Drosophila melanogaster: one gene and its partners. The protein of the gene in region 3 interacts with the protein of the main gene of each other region in a pairwise test. Each region holds a gene or a part of one and is shown on either strand. Other genes may lie near its edges. The genes, in order: rtp, CG42565, CG14926 and heca.

What was found.
Region 1: the proteins of CG14926 (region 3) and rtp interact in a two-hybrid assay, tested with the Drosophila melanogaster proteins (one large-scale study listed by BioGRID).
Region 2: the proteins of CG14926 (region 3) and CG42565 interact in a two-hybrid assay, tested with the Drosophila melanogaster proteins (one large-scale study listed by BioGRID).
Region 4: the proteins of CG14926 (region 3) and heca interact in a two-hybrid assay, tested with the Drosophila melanogaster proteins (one large-scale study listed by BioGRID).

What each region holds. Positions count from the first base shown.
Region 1 is NT_033777.3:5,235,473-5,239,116, forward strand, and holds rtp (retinophilin), read right to left. Parts: upstream 1,844-3,644; 5' UTR 1,788-1,843; coding exon 1,760-1,787; intron 1,702-1,759; coding exon 1,401-1,701; intron 1,195-1,400; coding exon 927-1,194; 3' UTR 620-926; downstream 1-619. Other genes in the region: Mms19, read left to right, coding at 1-256, 371-562; CtsF (cathepsin F), read right to left, coding at 2,419-2,684, 2,741-2,922, 2,982-3,644. UniProt on the Drosophila melanogaster protein: Plays a role in promoting axonal degeneration following neuronal injury by toxic insult or trauma.
Region 2 is NT_033778.4:22,656,098-22,662,221, reverse strand, and holds CG42565 (uncharacterized protein), read right to left. Parts: upstream 4,322-6,124; 5' UTR 4,234-4,321; coding exon of another isoform or gene 3,947-4,233; intron 3,300-3,946; coding exon of another isoform or gene 3,197-3,299; 5' UTR 2,511-3,196; coding exon of another isoform or gene 2,245-2,510; intron 2,187-2,244; coding exon of another isoform or gene 2,084-2,186; 5' UTR 1,672-2,083; coding exon 1,361-1,671; intron 1,154-1,360; coding exon 1,057-1,153; 3' UTR 833-1,056; downstream 1-832. Other genes in the region: CG13511 (uncharacterized protein), read right to left, coding at 2,084-2,186, 2,245-2,510; CG13510 (uncharacterized protein), read right to left, coding at 3,197-3,299, 3,947-4,233; CG43325 (uncharacterized protein), read left to right, coding at 5,244-5,605, 5,758-5,869.
Region 3 is NT_033779.5:11,341,511-11,345,082, reverse strand, and holds CG14926 (uncharacterized protein), read left to right. Parts: upstream 1-1,764; 5' UTR 1,765-1,914; coding exon 1,915-1,983; intron 1,984-2,037; coding exon 2,038-2,246; intron 2,247-2,303; coding exon 2,304-2,500; intron 2,501-2,554; coding exon 2,555-2,604; 3' UTR 2,605-2,782; downstream 2,783-3,572.
Region 4 is NT_033777.3:30,275,857-30,281,076, reverse strand, and holds the start of heca (headcase), read right to left. Parts: upstream 3,146-5,220; 5' UTR 2,134-3,145; coding exon 830-2,133; intron 1-829. UniProt on the Drosophila melanogaster protein: Required for imaginal cell differentiation, may be involved in hormonal responsiveness during metamorphosis. Involved in an inhibitory signaling mechanism to determine the number of cells that will form unicellular sprouts in the trachea.

The DNA of each region.
Region 1 (3,644 bases), on a different chromosome or scaffold from region 3:
CTGTGTGCACCACTTGAAGGCTTTTGTCTACGTACTGAAAGCCACGCCACAGGCGGTTATTAAGCTAAACATTGAGCAGCTCGGTCCGCTGCTTTTCAAGAGCTTGGAGGAGCACAACGAGGCGCAGTCGCTGTGCATTGCATTGGGCATCTGTGAAAAGTTTGTGGCGCAGCAGGACACGTATTTCCAAGGGCATTTGGCCCACCTCATACCCAGCTGTCTGGAGCTGTCGAAATACAAGGCTCAGCATACCATGGTAAGTTAAACATGCACATATTATTATAAAGATTTGATAGTTAATTGAGGAGGTTTCTTAACTTGTAAAGGAAAATGTCGAACACAAAACTTAAACTCATTTTCTTTCTTATAGCAAGTGCGAATTGCGGCGCTGCAGCTGCTCTACGATGTGACAAAGTATCCTACCTTCGTCCTGTTGCCCCACAAAGTCGATGTTACTCTGGCCCTGGCCGCCGCCTTGGATGATCCCAAGCGTCTGGTGCGGAACACAGCGGTGAAGGCCAGGAATGCGTGGTACCTGGTCGGTGCGCCTAGTCCGAATTAGCAGAGAAACAACTCCGTTCTTGTTAATATTATAATCCAATAAGCACACGCACAAATTCTTCATAATTTTCTTGTTGTTTTTATTAGGGTGCGTTGAAGAATTTTTGATAAAGAATTTGGAAAAAGCAAAATTATAAAGTAAACGCGAAATTGTATGCATTTTATATTACTTAGATACATTTACGAACGTTTATGCGCAAATGTATTAAAGTTTAAGATGTTAAGAAAGAAATGCTTATTTCTTTTCTTAAAGGCACCTTTTTCTGTTTTATGACTTGAGACTCTTACAGTCGGTTACTAAAATTTGTATTTTTAAACTGTACGTGTTTATCAATACCAACTGGTAACCAATCTGAAGTGTCTGTTCAGTATGGGTGTTCGCACTGGGAACGGGCCATAAGAGCGCACTTTTGTGCACGCTGCACCACCTCGGGACATCGACGTCGTCTCATAAAGCGGCAGTCTTGAAAGAATCCCTCGTTTCTGGGAAAGCCGTGCGTGAAGTCCTGGAACGTCAGCAATCCCAGGCCCCAGATCTTGCCGCCTCGAAACTCGCCCTCGTACTTCATTCCATCGGCTCTCCAGAAGATCCCATTACCATGAAACCAGCCCTGATGAAACTCGCCTTCGTATCTGTCTTAAAAATGTGCAAAATGAATCATCATATACAATTTTCTTCACTGGATGCAAACCCTAGGTAAATTATAGCTAAACCATTTCTGATCAAGAATATATATACTAGCATTTCCTCTTACTCCCCGAGTAGTGGCTACAAGAATAGTTTTCAAGTGCTACAATATTTCGTTTAGGTTTACATCACTAATATTATTGAAACTGACTTTGCTCCATCCGCGAACCAGAGGCAGCCCACTCCTTGACTAAGACCCTCCTGGAACTGCCCATCGTAGCGGGTGCCATCGGCGAACTGCAGATGCCCGATGCCGTGCTTTTGGCCACGCTGGTTCCACTCGCCGATGTAGCGACTGGCGTCCTCGTATCGCCATCCGCCCACTTTGACCGCCCCTGCGCTGTACTGGCTTTGACCCTGGCCCTGTTGGTGGTGTCCATGCTGACCCTGCTGGTGGGGGTGCTGTTGGTGCTGGTTCTCGATTCGGGCCGTGGTCACGCCCACGCTGCTCACTGGGTAATGATTTTTACGCAATTTTGTATCTGCATCCTTTTGTCTGTGTTCACTTACTGTCATCATCGTAGTCGTCCATGGCCATTGCTCCGCTACCGCCCGCGATGCGCTTCAAGCTGCTACTGAGCTGGCTGGTTCTGCACCAGAAACACTCATTTTCTATGGCTTCCCACGGTGCGACGGCCCTGGTCTAAATCTAATTAACATATTGCACTTCTACACACTGACAAAGTGTTTGAAAATCAATCATCAAAATCACTGGGTCAAATGTTCCAGTAATTGAAGCAGTTATAAATATTTCTTAACAGCCAATAATACTCTGGCACCCATATTTAATCAAACCATTTTAATCGAATAATTTGAATACATCTCACATAAATTCAACATTTTTCTTGATCCAACCAACCATCAATCTTGACCAACTGTTGCTGCGGCCAGAGCTGTCATGGATTCAATAATAAACCCAACCAGGTTTTAATTCTTGTACAATTTATTGTTATTTTCAATTAAAGCGGAATATGTGGATGCAGACTTTTTCGTGAGATTACAGATGTCTGAAATGATTATACTATATAGGCGAAGCTTTGAAACTCAACGACTCCTTATCGTGACGGTTGAAGAACATGGAAACAGAATTAATTGTACACAAAGTTACTGGCTAAATTATTAACCTAGATATAGTCGTATGCTTGTATATAATTGGACTCAAAGCAAGTCTAGGCCAGCACAGCCGAAGTGGCCATTTCGCTGACGCCGCAAGTGTTGTCACCACGATAAACGCGATAATAGCCCTGCTCTCCCCAGCGCGGACCCCACGAGTTCTTCACAATCCAGTAGGGCAAGGTCTTGTGGAAATTGGGATAGTCGGAGACGCCATACCCCACAACTAGAACACCGTGGTCGAGGTTTTTCTTGGAGCACAGGGCCTTCCACGGATGGGAAACTCCGCCGCGATAGAACTGCATAGCATTCGCATTGATGCCTAGAGAAATGATCTGGTTAAGTGGGCTTTGGGGTTAATTTTCTGCATCGACTTACCGATCGAAATGGGACCATTGGCGAGAAGCCACTCCTGCATGGCGGTCTCATTTCCCTTCGGCAGATCCACGAAGCCGGCAACCTGAACGTGGGACAAAGTCCTGTTGAAGTGGCACTGATTCTTTTTGGCCTTGTATGGGTACTCAGCCTCGTACTCTAGGCCGCCAATATCCTTAATGGCCCTGCGGAGGAATTATTACATAAGTATCTACATCGTAATGTTCATTCCCTCGTAACTTACTTGTAAGCATTGTCCATGAGGCCGCCGTTGCAGGCACTATCCGTGGTATCACAGTCCAGCAGCTCCTGTTCGGAGAACTCTTTCAATTCGCCCGTTTTCACTGCGTACAGGCCTTCGATGTTGCCGGTCACACTGAAGGCCCAGCATGAACCGCAGGATCCCTGATTCTTCACCTGGGTGACAGCATCCTTCTGCCTCCAGTCAAACTCCTTCGGCAGTTCACCATGGTAAGCCGGTACGACAGCCGCCGATCCGCCAGTGGCCTTTGCCTCATCACGCTGCCAGAGTCCCGTGCGTTCCTTGTATTCCGAGCTGGTCATATCAGCAAACTCCGTGATGCCGTACTTGGCGCTGCCCATCTCGTTGGCGTTTAGCTCCTCGATAGTCTTCAGGTTCTGACGGAAAATGCGCAGGCGCATCTGGCGCTCGGCGGTGCTTACGTAGCGACGGCCAAATCGCACCTGGAACTTGTAGAAGAGGTGGTCCACCTTGTCAAAGCGATGGCTGTGCTTCTTGTGCGTCTTCTTCTCGGCCCACTCCACGGATCGCGTGTGTCGGGCCTGGACCACCGGCTGGTTGCGGCACTTAAAGGTGATTTCGTGCTCATCCTTCCTCACCCAGACCTTTGTCCAGATATCCACGATACAGCGGTGCTGCTCCTCC
Region 2 (6,124 bases), on a different chromosome or scaffold from region 3:
CTGTCGTCCTGTATGTCTTTGCTGAGTTCTCCCCCAAGCAAAAGTAAATTTTTTGGGGAGCGGCAAAGCAGCGGTAAACATCTAAACAACCAGATATTACCCAATTAGACCTGACTATAATAGTCCGTTGCTCATGTTTGACCCAATCCTAGGCTTGCATAATATATCTCTCCCGTCATACTTACAATCTGTATGGGTGGGTACGTTGTCAAAATAAATAAAGTAGAATTCCGATTTCACAGAGAGACAAAAAGTTAATGCGCACTGTTTGGGCTGCGAAAGTGTTGTGCGGTCAGAAGTTTAGGGCGCGAAGCGGGACACTACACTTCCAAAAGTATTTCCGTTAGCAACATTATGTTGCCTAACTGGGAAGTGATATTTATATACATCCTTAAAATTGATTACAGCGTATCCCTAGGCTGAGTTAAATTAAAATCCTTTTATTCCATTTCTTAAGAACTAAACATTTAGCAGAAATTCAAATATTTTACTAAATATTCAATTATAATGCAAAGAACTTCAGTGATTTCATTTAATAGCATGAACAGTAATCTTGAAGCATCTTAGCATCAATTTAAACTGTGCCAACATGCCGGTTCGTCCCAGCAACATTTTACCGGTTCAAAACAGTTTCATATCAACATTTATTGCTGGACACAAAAGAGTTGTGCTACGAAAAAGTTTCGGGAAAAGACCGCCAAAAAGTACACAAAAACAAAAAAAAAAAACGTATGAACAATTAAGTTTCACATTATTTTTTCTGCAAATCTAGTTGTCTGCAGCAACAATGTAGCCAGATACCCAGAAACAGAAATTAAAGAAAATTCCATTCGCTTCAAAATCTATTTGTTTATTTTTTCGCTGTCAGCTTATTTTGCTCACTAAGCAAACATATTTTTATGTATGTTAAGTGATGAAGACACCACATTGACGCCGTCGATACATAAGGAGATATGAACATACATACATATATGTATGTATAGTTGGTTATGTATATATATATACATATATATAAAATGAAATGATATGAAATCGGCGAGTGTTTTCGCTGCGTCTTCAAAACGAACCCAAGCAGGAGTTGCAGTTGGGACAGTACTGGGAGGTCTTGTAGCAACAGTTGCAGCAGCAAGGGGCGCAGACGCAGGGCCAGCATCTGGTGGATAGAGATGGGAAATAGAGTATATAGCTTATAAGGCACGATCAGCAATTTCTCATAGCTTGTCCAGGAAGAAGCAAAACAATTGCGGCCACAGATATAGCAGACTAGTAAAAACATTTCTTTTTCCGTTTGCTTACATACACATTATGTATGTACAAACCTTTGTTGCTATACTTGCAACCATAAATGCGATCTACTTACAGGAATAGGCAGAGCAACGCCGCCATACAGTAAGTTGATCCGGTAGGATGGTGCTCCACGCGAAGGCGAATCCGAGCGTTGCAGTGGGGACAGATCGTTCCCTGGCGGGTATTGTCCACCAGCACTGTCGTCTGGTGATGCATCACGCTTACGGGCTGCAACACCGGCATGGTTTGGGCCATCACGGGTATCACCGGATTGGGATGTGCGGGCGACGCCAGGTTCTGCTGCATGACGTCCTCCGCTGGAGGAGCGGTGGCGAATGGATCCGAGTAGGGCGGCGGGGAGTCTACGCGCTTGTAGCAACGCATGCTTTTCTATACTCTTCAAATCACACTAAAAATATCAACCAGTTGCTTACAGCTGCGAACGAGCACTGATATAATACTGAAAGCTTCCGTATATGTATATCGATGACAGTTTCATTAAACTCAGAACTGCCTTATCGGTATCGGTATTCAATTGATTCGCTTTCCTCATATTCTGGGTATTTATCCTAATACGAATATAAAATCTATCTACTGGCACACTAGGTGAGGAAATTATGGACCAGAAAAGATTACTTCATATGTGCAGTGAGAGTAGTAGAAACCATCCGTCATTAACAAAAAGAACTTAAATTTAAAACGTTATTATTTTATGTATCTGTATACATATATGGCTAATCTTGATTAAGTCTTGACATGGAAGGCATTTTTGGCAGTGCGGAGACACAGCACTTGATCAAATGCTATAGCTCCCAATGTGGCATCCACAGTTGGGACAGTAGTGCTGGACACTCTTGCAGTAGTTGATGAAGTAGGGAAGGCAGATGAAGGGCCAGCAGCTGGAGAATCAGGTTAGCAAAGTTAGTAAGCCCGGTGGTATCCTGACGCCCCACTCACCAGCAGATATACAAGGTCAGAGCGCACATGTGGGTCTTGCGGGTGGGGGACGTGGCCAGACTGGTGGTGACCTCGCCCCTGCAGGACGGACACCTCACCCTCATCGGCTTGCAGCCCACAGCCAGTGGATGTGCGCCCGGCCCCACTCCGTTCAGGGTGTAGACGGGTATCTGGGTCACCACCACCCCATAGTTTGGCTGCGTGGTTACGGTCACCATTTCCGTGTCGGCCGGTTCTGGAGCTCTGCCCATCCATGTGCTGCTCATGTTTGCGGCGGGGCATGCACTGAAATAGCCCGCCATTTAATGACAACATTGCTCTATCGCAATCGTTATCTTTTCTGACTAATCGACAAGTACTTTTTAGGTGAAACCTACTATGACTATGACGATATGGAGGGGTACAAGAGGAGTCGGCCAGTGCAGTACCTAATCGATTGACATTCGGTTCCAGTAGCTCTGTGCCATTTGGCCATTTCCAGTTGTTGGCTTGAGTAGGTGCCAGAAGGGTTTATGTTTCCTAGACAACAATTGATATAGTCTTAGCTATTTATGATATTTATGATCCATTTTACTGATTACGGTTTTTAAGCGATAGTAAAAAGTAAAAAGATTGTTTTAAAATGGTCATTAAAATGTTGGCGTTGGTTTCTCGTAATGATCGATCGAAATTGTTTAGTACCAGTACAAAATGTAGTGGAAAATACTAAATAATGTCAACATTATCATAGACATTTCTGAAAATATTAAATTACTTCATAATCCATTTAGCGGAAAGAGTGCCTTGTCCCAAGATATCTTGTCGCATTTCTGTTTCCTGTGTGAGTCTCATGAGTTTAATGTGTGGCGTTCGTACATGTGTATTTACAGTTCAATTTTTCTCGGTTATGACGCTAGTGCTTAGGGTTCTCTATAGGTATATACGTTTGTATGCATAAATAGGCGTTAGTTAGTTAGTTCTCGTAGGTGCCGATGTAGGCGCTGCAGTTGGGGCAGTAGTGGTTGGCATTCTGGCAGGAGTCCATGCAGTAAGGTAGGCATACGCACGGCCAGCAGCTGTGTGGATAGAGTGGAAAACGAATCGATTAGATAAGTTCGGGGAATTAAACTATTAGTCAGAGCACTAATTCCGAATTGGCCTTTACGACGTCTACAGGCCGTAATCAGTCAGTTTGCTTGCTTTCACCCCGTCTTTCCACTCGGATTCGTTATCTGACTCAACTCCAGTTCCAGTTGAGATAACAATGTTTTCACATATTACCAGTACACACAGTCGCAATACCTGTAGAAACCTATTGTTTTTTCCAAGCGATAAGGGGCCGCAAGTGGTTCATGGGCGTAGCTTTTTAACATTTAACCGAGCTATTGTAACGAGTTGGCAATAAAATGGTTATAGAACATTTCTGCTTGGGCGATACGAAAACATATCTAGATTGTTAGGATATCATCTATAGGATATCATATCATCTATGTATATTACTGAATTTAATAGGCAACATATCCGATTTGTATTGCTTTTAAAAATGGTTTACTCCATTTTGCGCAATTTTATAAAAAGGTCATTTGACTGGATTAATGAAGCACTAAGTCCCCCCTAAGATACTTTCGTTGGCCCAAAGCTCCTGAGACCAATCAACATACATACATACATATGGTGGCAAGCAGTGACTTCAGATCAGATGACTAGTGACTATAAGACTCACATGAACAGGCACAGGATGAGGGCCCAGCAGTGCGTCCTGCCGGAAGGAGTGGACTTCACGGTGGTCAGTACTTCGGCGTGACAGGAGGGACAGCGGATGCGGGTGGGTCCACTGCCGATGGGCACCAGGTTGGAGGTTGTGGTGGTCTGGATGATCACCGTTGAGGACTGCGGTGGCTGCGGCATCGGTGGGTACAGTGGTGGCTGGGTGGGGCCACCGGGCTGATAGGTTTGTGCGGGAGTGTATCCGGACTGTTCACTGTACGGTGGAGGCTGCTTGCTGTCCATAGTTTCGGATTATGTTTCTTCTTGATGCAGACTCTGGATTTCCGGCCGAACTGAACCGATCGCTTTGCTGGCTGGCGTTGCACTGAGGAACGAACTTAAACTGTGGCTCCCGCAATACCTCAACGATTGGCTACTATCTTATCGTCGAGAGGTGATAGCTACCATACAAGTGGGGTTTCTGTCGAACTAATAATCGGATACCTCTTTTATTGTGCACTTGATTTAGTGAGCTACAGCGATGCTTCTCCTCCGAATAGGCGACAGATGAGTCACTTGTTTGATAACACCTTTATTGCATATAAAGGCAATGAATAAGGCCAAAATATACATATGTAACATTTAGTACGTGTATTTTGCGAGGAGAGAGTATAAACAAACACAGGTTGTCGACTCGAGTGCTCTCGCCATAATATAATATTTTTGTAATTTACCAAATGCGTGACCGGTTTATATATATGTACATATGTAGATATGATTCTTTGCCAGTTGAAGCATCATCATTCCATTTGTGAAGCCTTTATTTTTTTTAATTATTTATTGGATATTGGATATTAATGTGTAACTTGCTTAATTTGTGATTAAAAATAATATATATATTTTCCGTGCTTGATACTATTTCCTGAAAAACCTTATGAAATGTCTTAATTATTCAAGTCAAAATAAAAACAGACTTCGATCTTCAATGGGTTAAGATAACTGTGTATATTTTTTATAGAAAAAGCTCCATTTACCACCCACTCGCCGGCAGCTTTGTGGAAGCTTTCCTCATGGGATCTACGTTCAAGTGCAGCCGTTAACATCGCAACCATGAAAATAGTGTTAGGCAAATACGGGGGCTTGACAAACAGATGAACAACTGGTTTGTCTAACTCCCCCCTCAGCCCAAAAAATATAATAATAAATCCCCCTCGCCAAGCGATAGCTGTTTGACTTATGTTTCTTATGTTTCAATTGTAAAATAACCCAATTTATAGGCAAATAGAAAACCCGAGTCGAGTCAGTTCAACAACATGAGCCGTCAGCTAAAGTTCCACCTTCAAGCTCCCGACGACGAGGAGTTCGCAGCGGATCTGGTGGAGATTAACCTGAACCCCAACTGCGGCCAGGTCAAGCAGAAGTCGGCTCAGGCCTTGGACCAGCTGCTCCTGGCCACGCCCCCACACAGAGGCTATCCCTACGGCTATGCCGAGGACTCCGAGCCGGATACCTACTTCTGCCGGAAGAGCAACTCCACAGGCCAACTGGCCGAGAAGGTATCACCTCCGCCGCCCGCTGCCACCAACATTAGTTGCCTCCGCCAGATGTACTGTCCGGAGTGCCACGAGCGATTGCACGAGCAGGGAGTCCGCCTGGAGCGACTCCTTACCATGTGGTGAGTGCAAGGCCAGGACATTTCTTTAAAGTAAATTCTTAGGATGGAATATAAATAAGATTATTTAATCGTAGTATAGGGCTATTAGGATAATAACAAAGATCGGAAGTATTTATATTTCTAATTCAGATTATTTCCTTATCCATTTCCAGCTGCTTTGCCCTGCTGCCCATCTATCCCTGCTGCCCGAGGCGCTCCACCAACGATTGCAAGGTCATCTGCGGCAAGTGTGGTTACCTCTTGGGGGCATGGAAAAGACAGTGAGATGAAGGGATGGGGGTCGTGGGTTGGGGCAAACGGAGTGGGTGCTCCGCTTATAATTGTTTGTTTTGTTTAGTTTTTAAGCACTTTTTGTTGACCTTGCGGCGAGTGATGAGCGCTGCTGAGACTGAAGAGCCGAGTGCCAAAAAATTGTTGATTGCTGCATGATTCTCTCAGTGGTTTCTCTTCAATTAGATCTCTTTGGTCAGATAGATCTCTTTTTCGAATTTCACTGCCTCGGGATTCGCCAAAATGTTT
Region 3 (3,572 bases):
CCACGCGCCACCGATGATGCCAATGATTAATTGCCTCGAAAATGTTTGTTTTCATAAACAATTTTTTTAATAGACCCTCGCATATGTCGGCTGTCGGACGAGTCAGAAACCTGGATCTATCGGGGTCGACGAGTGGGCGGGGTCAAAGAGTTAAATCGATTCGAGTGTTGTCTTTGTCGGATCTTAATGCAGATGACTCCGATGACTCCGGAGTTTCAATGCAGCTATTTTCGTGTCCTCCGCCTCTGATCGATGCACTCGTGTTGGGAATGTAAAAAGAGTTGATAAATCAAAATGTTTTGCCGGGGTCACAAGGCAAGGCATTTGAACGCCCCCGTGGCCCTGACAAATGGGCCCATGGTATTTGGGCTTATTGAAGGTGTTAATTGGCAGCAATTAGGATGGACCTTAAGCGGTGGAAATTCATATTTTCCAACGTTTAAATACGTTTAAAATTAGACAAAATGTTGGTGGAGAAAATAGAAAGACAAACCAGAGTAAGAAAAATATTTATCCCCCGGACGAGGGTCGCCAAGAAATTTATGAAATTTCTGTGTGCTCTGGAGCTCGTGGCATTCCCGAAACAGATTTTTTCAATTAAAAATAAAAAATGTTTTCAACAGGTGACAAAACAATTTTACGGCCCCAAGACCGCACGAATGCCATAAAATGGGATTAGCCATCAGGGAGATGACGATCAAAGGAGGGCACTTCTCGTTTCCTTTCCTGATGCCTTGTTTTGAGTTAAAGGGACCATCAAATATTTTATGCATTTTAAATTGCTGCTAAAAAAGCAGAGCTAACGTTCCCTCATCTCTTGCCATTCCAGCCATAAATCTTAGGGCTCGGGAGATACATTTTGTGGGACGACAGGTAGATCCCATTGCTGGCTGGTCCAAGGACATGCCGACACTTGGCCTCAAGTGCATTATGAATATGAAGCAATAATTTATTTATGAACCTCATAACGATGCAATTTATGAGGTCATCTGCCATTGTCTGCTGCTCCTTTGTAGGTCAGTCTTTGGCCTTTGTTCTGCAGATCGGCAAGAAACATAAATAAAACTTGCATCGATAGGAAACTGGTTTGTCAGAGGCAGGGAAAAAGATACAGCTGTGCGGCATGCGGTGTGTACAGGTGGAAGTCGCTAAGGATAACAAGGTTTCTTATCTACCGAAGTGTGGCCCAACATGGGTTTTAGTTTGTAGTGCTAAAGTCCTTTTCGGACAAAATTTATTTAGTAGTTTCCTATCCAACTGGTTTATATTTCTTACAACTTTCACCAAGCACACCGTCTGAATATATTACATTTTTAGAATAAAACAATAATCAGTATTTATTGCGCTACATTTGCTTAAACATTTATTTATTTATCACCAGCATCTGGACATTAATTCCATAAATCAGCCACCCAGACACTGAAATGATTAATTCAATAAGTTTGAATGGCTGTTCTTAACTGCCATTAATAGGCTAATAATCTCGAGATGATGATTAAAAATGTTTATTATGACTGTGTTTGCACAAAATTTGAATTTTATTATGTCTAAGATTATATGAGAAGATCAGAGATAACATTTCAAAATCTCAGCATGATCTCAAATATTCCGTTAAGAGCGAGTATAGAACACAGACTGGTTTTTGCTAATGATATTCATGATGCGACAACGAAATGATTTATTTTGTTTGTTTTCCTGTTATAGAAGATTATAAACGTATAGATTGTACATGACTAAAACAAGTTAGAAGTTTTCAAATCAAGTAAGCATGGAAAACACATTAATGTGTACTTCAGTTGGCTCGAATTAGAAATCCTCATTTTTAGTCCGGCATTCAGTAAGGTAACAGATCGGCCAACAAAATTTTTTCAAAAACCATTTGAAATTTTTTTGAAATTTTTAAATTTTTTAACGATGGAAAACGGTCCGGAATTCAATTGGGAGTACAGCCATGGTGGTCAGGGAAATCCCAACTACTCACAGGTGAGTCTGCCTACGTACTTCGGTATCCGGGTCTAAACCATGGAATGGTTTCAGATGGGAAGGGGTAGTACTCCTCCTGGAGGCGGTGGTCGTCAGTGGCTGCACTCAAGTCAAGCGAACACCCAAAACTATTTGCATGGATCCAGTGGAATGGGATCGCACCAGAATAACGCATCTCCAGGTGATCCATTCGCCTCCTACAACCAAAATATGATGAACATGTACACGAATTTTAAGCCCAGTTACGGTCATTCTCAAGTTGGGTAAGTTTTTTTTTATGGATCTTAAGGCTGATCTAAAACTGTTTTGGGTTCTATTAGCCCGGCTTCGGTACAGGGCATGGGCTCAGAGCCTGGTCTTGAAATGGGTAACAGAATGGGCCATTCCATGCCCGAGTCTATGGGATTCGATGGAGGCATGGGTTCCGGCATGGGCATGAGCAATGGCCTTGGCGCTGGAATGCGAGTTGGTTCCATGCGTGGTGGTCAAAGGTTAGCTGGAGGCTACTCTTCGAATGGTAAGGCATTTTACTTACCTAATGAAGAATCGCATTAAAATCGTTTTTTTGTAGGTCTCAATGATCCGAACCCTTCGCAATCCCACCGTGGTAGTTGGTTCTAGAAGAGCCCATTAGTTCCTAACTAACTTTACGAATCTCATTTGGCACTTGAAAATTAAATATAATAGGCTTCCCATGAAATGTATATTCACAAAGCAAGTAACTCGAAATTTCCCGTTTAAGAATAATAAATTGATCACATAATAAATATTTGGCACATTTATCAATCTGCGATCACGTGTACGTTATCTATAGTTGTGACCGTTTAATTGTAATCGATATTCAAATATGGCCGAGGGTCAAACGGTGCCATTAACGCCGGCTAACCTTCTGCCCTTTTGGGTGCTGTGACCTCTGTCATCGGGGATCTGTGTATGGAAATCACGTAAGGGATGGGGTGGGGGGTGGCTTTAGTTGCGAGGGGTGGCGCAAGGGCATAAATAACAAATGCAATGTATTTGTATGTATAAATTATGATGATACTATTAGTTAGCATGTCATTCGGCAGCGGGTCTATAAATTACGGACAGGCAACAACTGCAGCAGTGCACACCCACCCTCCCATTTTTAGGGGCCAATGTGCATCCGTTTTTTTTTTTTGGGAGTTTTTATTAATAAATTTACATATACATACGATTTCGGGGGGCCCCTAAACATCGCCACTCGCCTGTCGCATGTCCCCAAATGAGGAACTCCTCCCGTTTCGGAAGTCCCGCGCGTGTGTAATGATCTGTCGCCCTGGATCAGGGCAGCGGATTAATGGTAAACCGAACGCATTTTTCATCGAACATTCCGTTGCATTTTTTTTCCTCGATTTTCCACTATGTTTTTAACAAGCGCCCATTTCGGAAGAACTAATTTATATATATTTGTTTCTGTGCGGCGAGAGTTCAGTAAACTATATGGAATCGCTACGGTTATGAGACCGTTCCGTTCGTTGTGCTCCAGATACGGTCGGTTCCGTTCCCCTCCATGAAACCCTTTCGGACGGAGGGATCCCCGGGTGGAATGCCAGTCACGTCTTGGACGG
Region 4 (5,220 bases), on a different chromosome or scaffold from region 3:
AATGAAATAAATAATAGTATTCGCTGCTCTGGGAAACGGAAATATTAAAAGTAGGCACAAAATAAATAAGAACAAGAACACATCTGGGAAACATACCATACGATAAATGTCCGCTGCTATATGGCAGCATATAAATTTCAATAATTTTTCATTGCCTATGATTTATGAGTAAAAAGAATGCCAATGAAGAGTGAAGAACTACAGCAGAATAAAAGAAAGAAAGCCTTGACCCACCGAAAGCAACAAAACAAAAGATTATAATATTTTATTCATTCCCTCTGAGTTGATGCAAATCGTCGACTTCCTTAAGGGGAAAATATTCGCAAATTTCTCGAATAAACCAGCGCATTTTATTTAATATTTCTGCAAATATTGTCTGTATTTCGCAGCTGTTCAGTCGTCAAGGTTATATAATCTATGGAACCGGCAAACGAACGAAAAACGGGCAAACAAACGCCTCAATTGTTGATAACACTGTGCAACACGATAAAGGAACGAGAGTATCAATCTGGTATCTATTTGGCATGTTTGTTGATAACACCTGAAGCCACTGGAAGTTTTATCAAAGGAAAAGCTAAACAAAACTTATAACAACTGCAGTAAATAAATTCGAAATATTAAGGCCCCCCTTGTCGTTCAGTGTAATTGATAAAAGTTTTGTGAATAAATATTGAAACGCTTATGTACCCCAACCACATGCTGGGGAATTTCGCCACACAAATTTCGCTTTGTTAAACAAGTTAACCAAGTATTTAAGATGAAATTCTAGACAATAAGACTATAGCTCCTTATAATCTATATGGTTATCATGATGATATCTTGTACTTACCGCACTCGATCGGAATAGAGTTCGACCTCCTTGTTCTTCTGCTGCTGCACAAGTTGCTGCTGCTCGTAGCTGGCCAATGGCTTGAAGTTGCTGATATTGGCCAAAGCAGGCAGGTTATTCTGCTGCTGCTGTTGTTGTTGCAGCTGCTGCTGCTGCTGCTGCTGGGGAGCAATCAGCAGATTCTTGGACAAGCCCAATCCATTTTGCAAAAGGTTGCTGCCGAAAGCTGGACCCAGAGGCTGGATCAGCAGCGACTGCTGCTGTTGCTGCTGCTGCTGTGGCAGCAATTGCTGCACCGGCGACACGGATATCTCGCCACTGGACTGGGAGTCCGAGGGCGAGGTGGATCCACTGCCAGCTCCACTGGAGGATAGGCTGCCAGCCCTGGCGCGCAGGTCCAGGCCGAGGACATTGTTCGTATTGAGGATGTTGCTGAAAGTGGCCAGCGCACTGGTCTGCAGAACGCCGGAGGAGCCGTTGTTGCCACTGCTGCCATTGCTGGCGGTGTTGCCGTTGTTGTGGGGCAAACCCGACCCTATGACGCCCACATTGGGATTGGGCGTGAGTCCGGCGTAGCTGTTGCCGTTGTTGTTGCTCAAGGGGGTTTTGGTGTTGCCATTGACACCAGCACCACCACCACCGCCGCCGCCGTTGTTGTTGTTGTTGTTGCGGTTCCTCTTCTTCTTGGCCTTCTTCTTGTCGTCGTCCTCGCTGAGGCTGCCATTGGCCAGAGTGGGCCGGTTGCCAGACCCGTTGAGGTATATGACGCCCTGGCTGCTCGGCGGCACCCAGTCGAGGTCCTTGCGCAATTGTCCCCTGCCGCACTTGCAGCTGCAGGCCTTCTGGACCAGCTCGTAGCCCTTCTTGGTCCACAGGTGCTGCAGACGCTGCCGCTCCGACCAGGATCGAGCACGACCGTTGGCCTTCAGTGCCTGCAGCACGCTCGCCTCCCACCACTCGAAGCACTCGCGATGCATGTACTGGCCTGCGCTGCAGTTCTCGTTGTTGCACAGCACACGGATGCAGTCCGCCAGGGAGAGCTCGTTCAGGTGTATCAGGGTGTCCAGTTTGCGACAGTCTCCGCTGGGCAGGCAGCAGTGGACCATGCCCCCGCCGCCAACGCCGCCAACGCCACCGGTTCCCTGCATGGGCGCCATTAGGACGCCTGAAGAATTCACGTTCTCCGCGTAGAACTGCAGCAGTTGATGCTGCTGCGTCTGGTGCTGCTGCTGCAACTGTTGCTGGTGCTGCTGCTGGGTGCTGTTGCCGCTGCTGCTGATGTTGCTGTTGCGACGCGGAGCCATAAATTTGTGTTTTTTCCTCTTAATATGCACTCGTTGCGGCGAAAAACTTGGTTGGTTGGCTGGGTTGGCTGTCCTCGAGAATCCTCAATCTCTATTTCGAATCAGCATTTTGCCAACGATTATGAATTTCAAAATATTGCTTGTTGATTTTTTCGCGATTTTATGGTGCGATTTGCGGTCTATATAAATGCTGCTGGCATATATTTATTTATTTTTGAACCGATTCCAGAATATATTTCAACTGATGGTTTTGGCAGATCCAGTGAGTTTTCGTGAATTTTAGTGGGTTTTTGTAAATTTTTAGAAATTTTGCAGACAAAAGTCTGATTTTATACGGAATTTAATTTTTTTGTGTATAGTAAATGCTTGTTATTTTAGCGATTTAGTCTGTTTAGGTTTTAACTTTTCGGTTGCCTTTTTCAATTGTTTTCAGTTGGATTTTCCGAGTGGGTTTCTACCGAGATTGGTATTATTTTTAACTTGATGGGTAATTGCTTTCACTTATTGCTTTAAAAATTGTACACCTCCTTGCTGTGTGTATCAAAAATACTTCGAAAAATTCCCGTCAATGCAGTCTGTTGTGTTTTGCGTAATTTTCTGTTTTGTTGTTGTACCTGAGCTGAGTTTATTGTTGTTGTAGAACTTTAAGTATCAAAAATTGTTTTTTTTTTATTGTTTATCTTCGCTTCGTCCCTATCTCCCTCTCACACGATCGTTCGCTCTCATTCACACACGCGGCGCCATGTTCGGCAATTTTTCACATTTTGCTTCGCTTTCTGCGTTTATTTCTTTGCGCCTCTTATTTTTTTGCCGGCAAACAAAAAGGATTAGAGGATAGTGTAAATTTCCGATTGGTTTTTAGTCGCAGGACAATTGTAAACTGGAGTGTTCCTCTTCGATTTATTCGGTTTTGCTAGTTCTCCTGTTTTCCGTTTTTTCCCACCACGAGCGGCGCACGCAGAGAGAAGCCAAAAAACACAACCAACCAGATCGAAAGCGAAATTCAAACTGTTTTTGGTCTGTGCTTGCTCGCCGCGTTCGAACATCGCGCGTCGAACATCGCTGCCGGCGTCGCTGCTTGGCATTGGCAGCGAAGTTGGAGTTTTCCTCCACTCCGATTTTCCGCACTTCTTCATTCCGTTTTTCGGGGTTGGTGGGTGGTGGTTGGCTGGTTTTCACTTTCCACCACCGCCGCCAACCGCTCGCTTTTCATTCGGTGGAAAACTGAACAGATTTTTGGCGCTAAAATGAGAAATGGTGGGGGAAAATTGCGGAAGGGGCTACAAAAAAAGTGTCTAATTCACTAGAATTTTCCACTGTAGGCCAGAATTTGGTACATTTTCCCACTTTACAACGGAACTTTTGATAGCAGTTACATACTTGATTAGATTAAATGTCTTAAAAATATATGTAGGAGTTTAGACTTTTGTTAATAAGCTTCATTTCCATAGAAAATGTTTCTATCAAGCCGTATTTTCTTTAAACTAATAAGAATAATAATAACATGTTTCTAACTTTATAGCCAAAAAGGAATATATATTTCTCCCTATGTTTTGGTTCCAAAATTAAATGAATTCGATTATTATTAAATAATCTAAATTTAATTATTTATTAGAATTTTTAGATTTTACATCCATTTCATTTACAATTAGGAGCTCTCGATGATTCGCCAAAATTCACTTTCGTTGCGGCTCGAAGCTGGTTCGAATCAAGTTCGAAGCCGGTCGTTTCCCCTCCAACATGTTCGACTGCAGTTGCCATGCGAACGTCGAGCGCGTTGGCTCTGTTCCACATGCATGGAGCGTGCATATGTGTTTGTGCCAGAAACCGGCAAAGTAAACAACATGAAAACAGGGTTGCCGAGTCGCTGGAACTCGAACTTGCAGCGCACTTTTGCTTTCCGTGGCTAATCTTTTAATTCCAGTGGAAGTGGAAATGCCGTTCGATGTCTCCATCTCCCTCTGTCGGAACTGCCGTTCTCTGTCGCACGCTTCGATTGCTGTTATATATTTACATACAAACGTATCTATATAATCCCCTATATATTCGCAAGCACATTTGCACAAAAATACAAATACAATGAATGCATGCGAGTGCTGGCAATAAAAGTGGCAGAGACAAAAAGGAAGAGAATTAAAACATTGAACGAAAAAGAGTTGAAGATACCCTACCTTGAATTAAAACAACCAATTAAAACTTGAATACGCAGACCTATTACTGCTTTCAATTGAAACAAGTATGTACATATGTATGAATAATTGTAATAGTTAAATTGTTGATATTAGTCCTAAGATTACGAATATCGCAGGTAACTTTTGTATTATGACTACTTATTTGTGTTTTGACTGTAGGGTATTAAAGTTGCCACCAAAACCCAAATAAGCTTTCAAACGTAGAGCCTTTTTATTGTATCCTCGCCTTTGTGTATATATGTACATACACACATATAAAAATTCCCGCTGTGTTGCAAAAAAAAAAAGTATGCGAAAACGAATAAGAAGAAGCGGTAGAAATGGCAAAAAACAGGCACGTGTAGAACGAAAAGTGGTAAAGGGAAGGGATCTCGCAACCAGATGGGGTTTTCTTATAGGACTCAGGATCTCAGGATCCGGGGTTCTATTCTTTTGGTAACTGCGGTGCAAAGTCAAGGTCCAATTCCACTTATTTTCGAGTCAAACTGCGCAGTTTCCATTTTTTTCTCTCGATTTTGACCTGCCGGGTAGAAGAAGAGCGAGCAGGAGGGAGAGAACCAGAGGGTTCTGATATAATAATTAAGTCAGTCAGGTAGGCAGATCGGCAGCCATTGCGTAATAGGATCGTACGTACGAGTATATTTAGGTATGCATGTATGTAATTATGTATGTATAGGTTGTTTGTTGTTCTAGCTAAAGGATCGTCGGTGGAGAGGGTAAAAGAACAAAGGAGGGGCGAACTAGTTTGTTGTTGTTGTCATCGCCGCTTTATAATTCTCAAGGATTTCGCTTTGTGTTCTCTTCGACTCTGACCTAATTTTAATGACCAATGCATAACGAAAAAATAATAATAATAAGAAGAAGAAGATGGCATGTGTTCAAAGCGAAAAGGGAG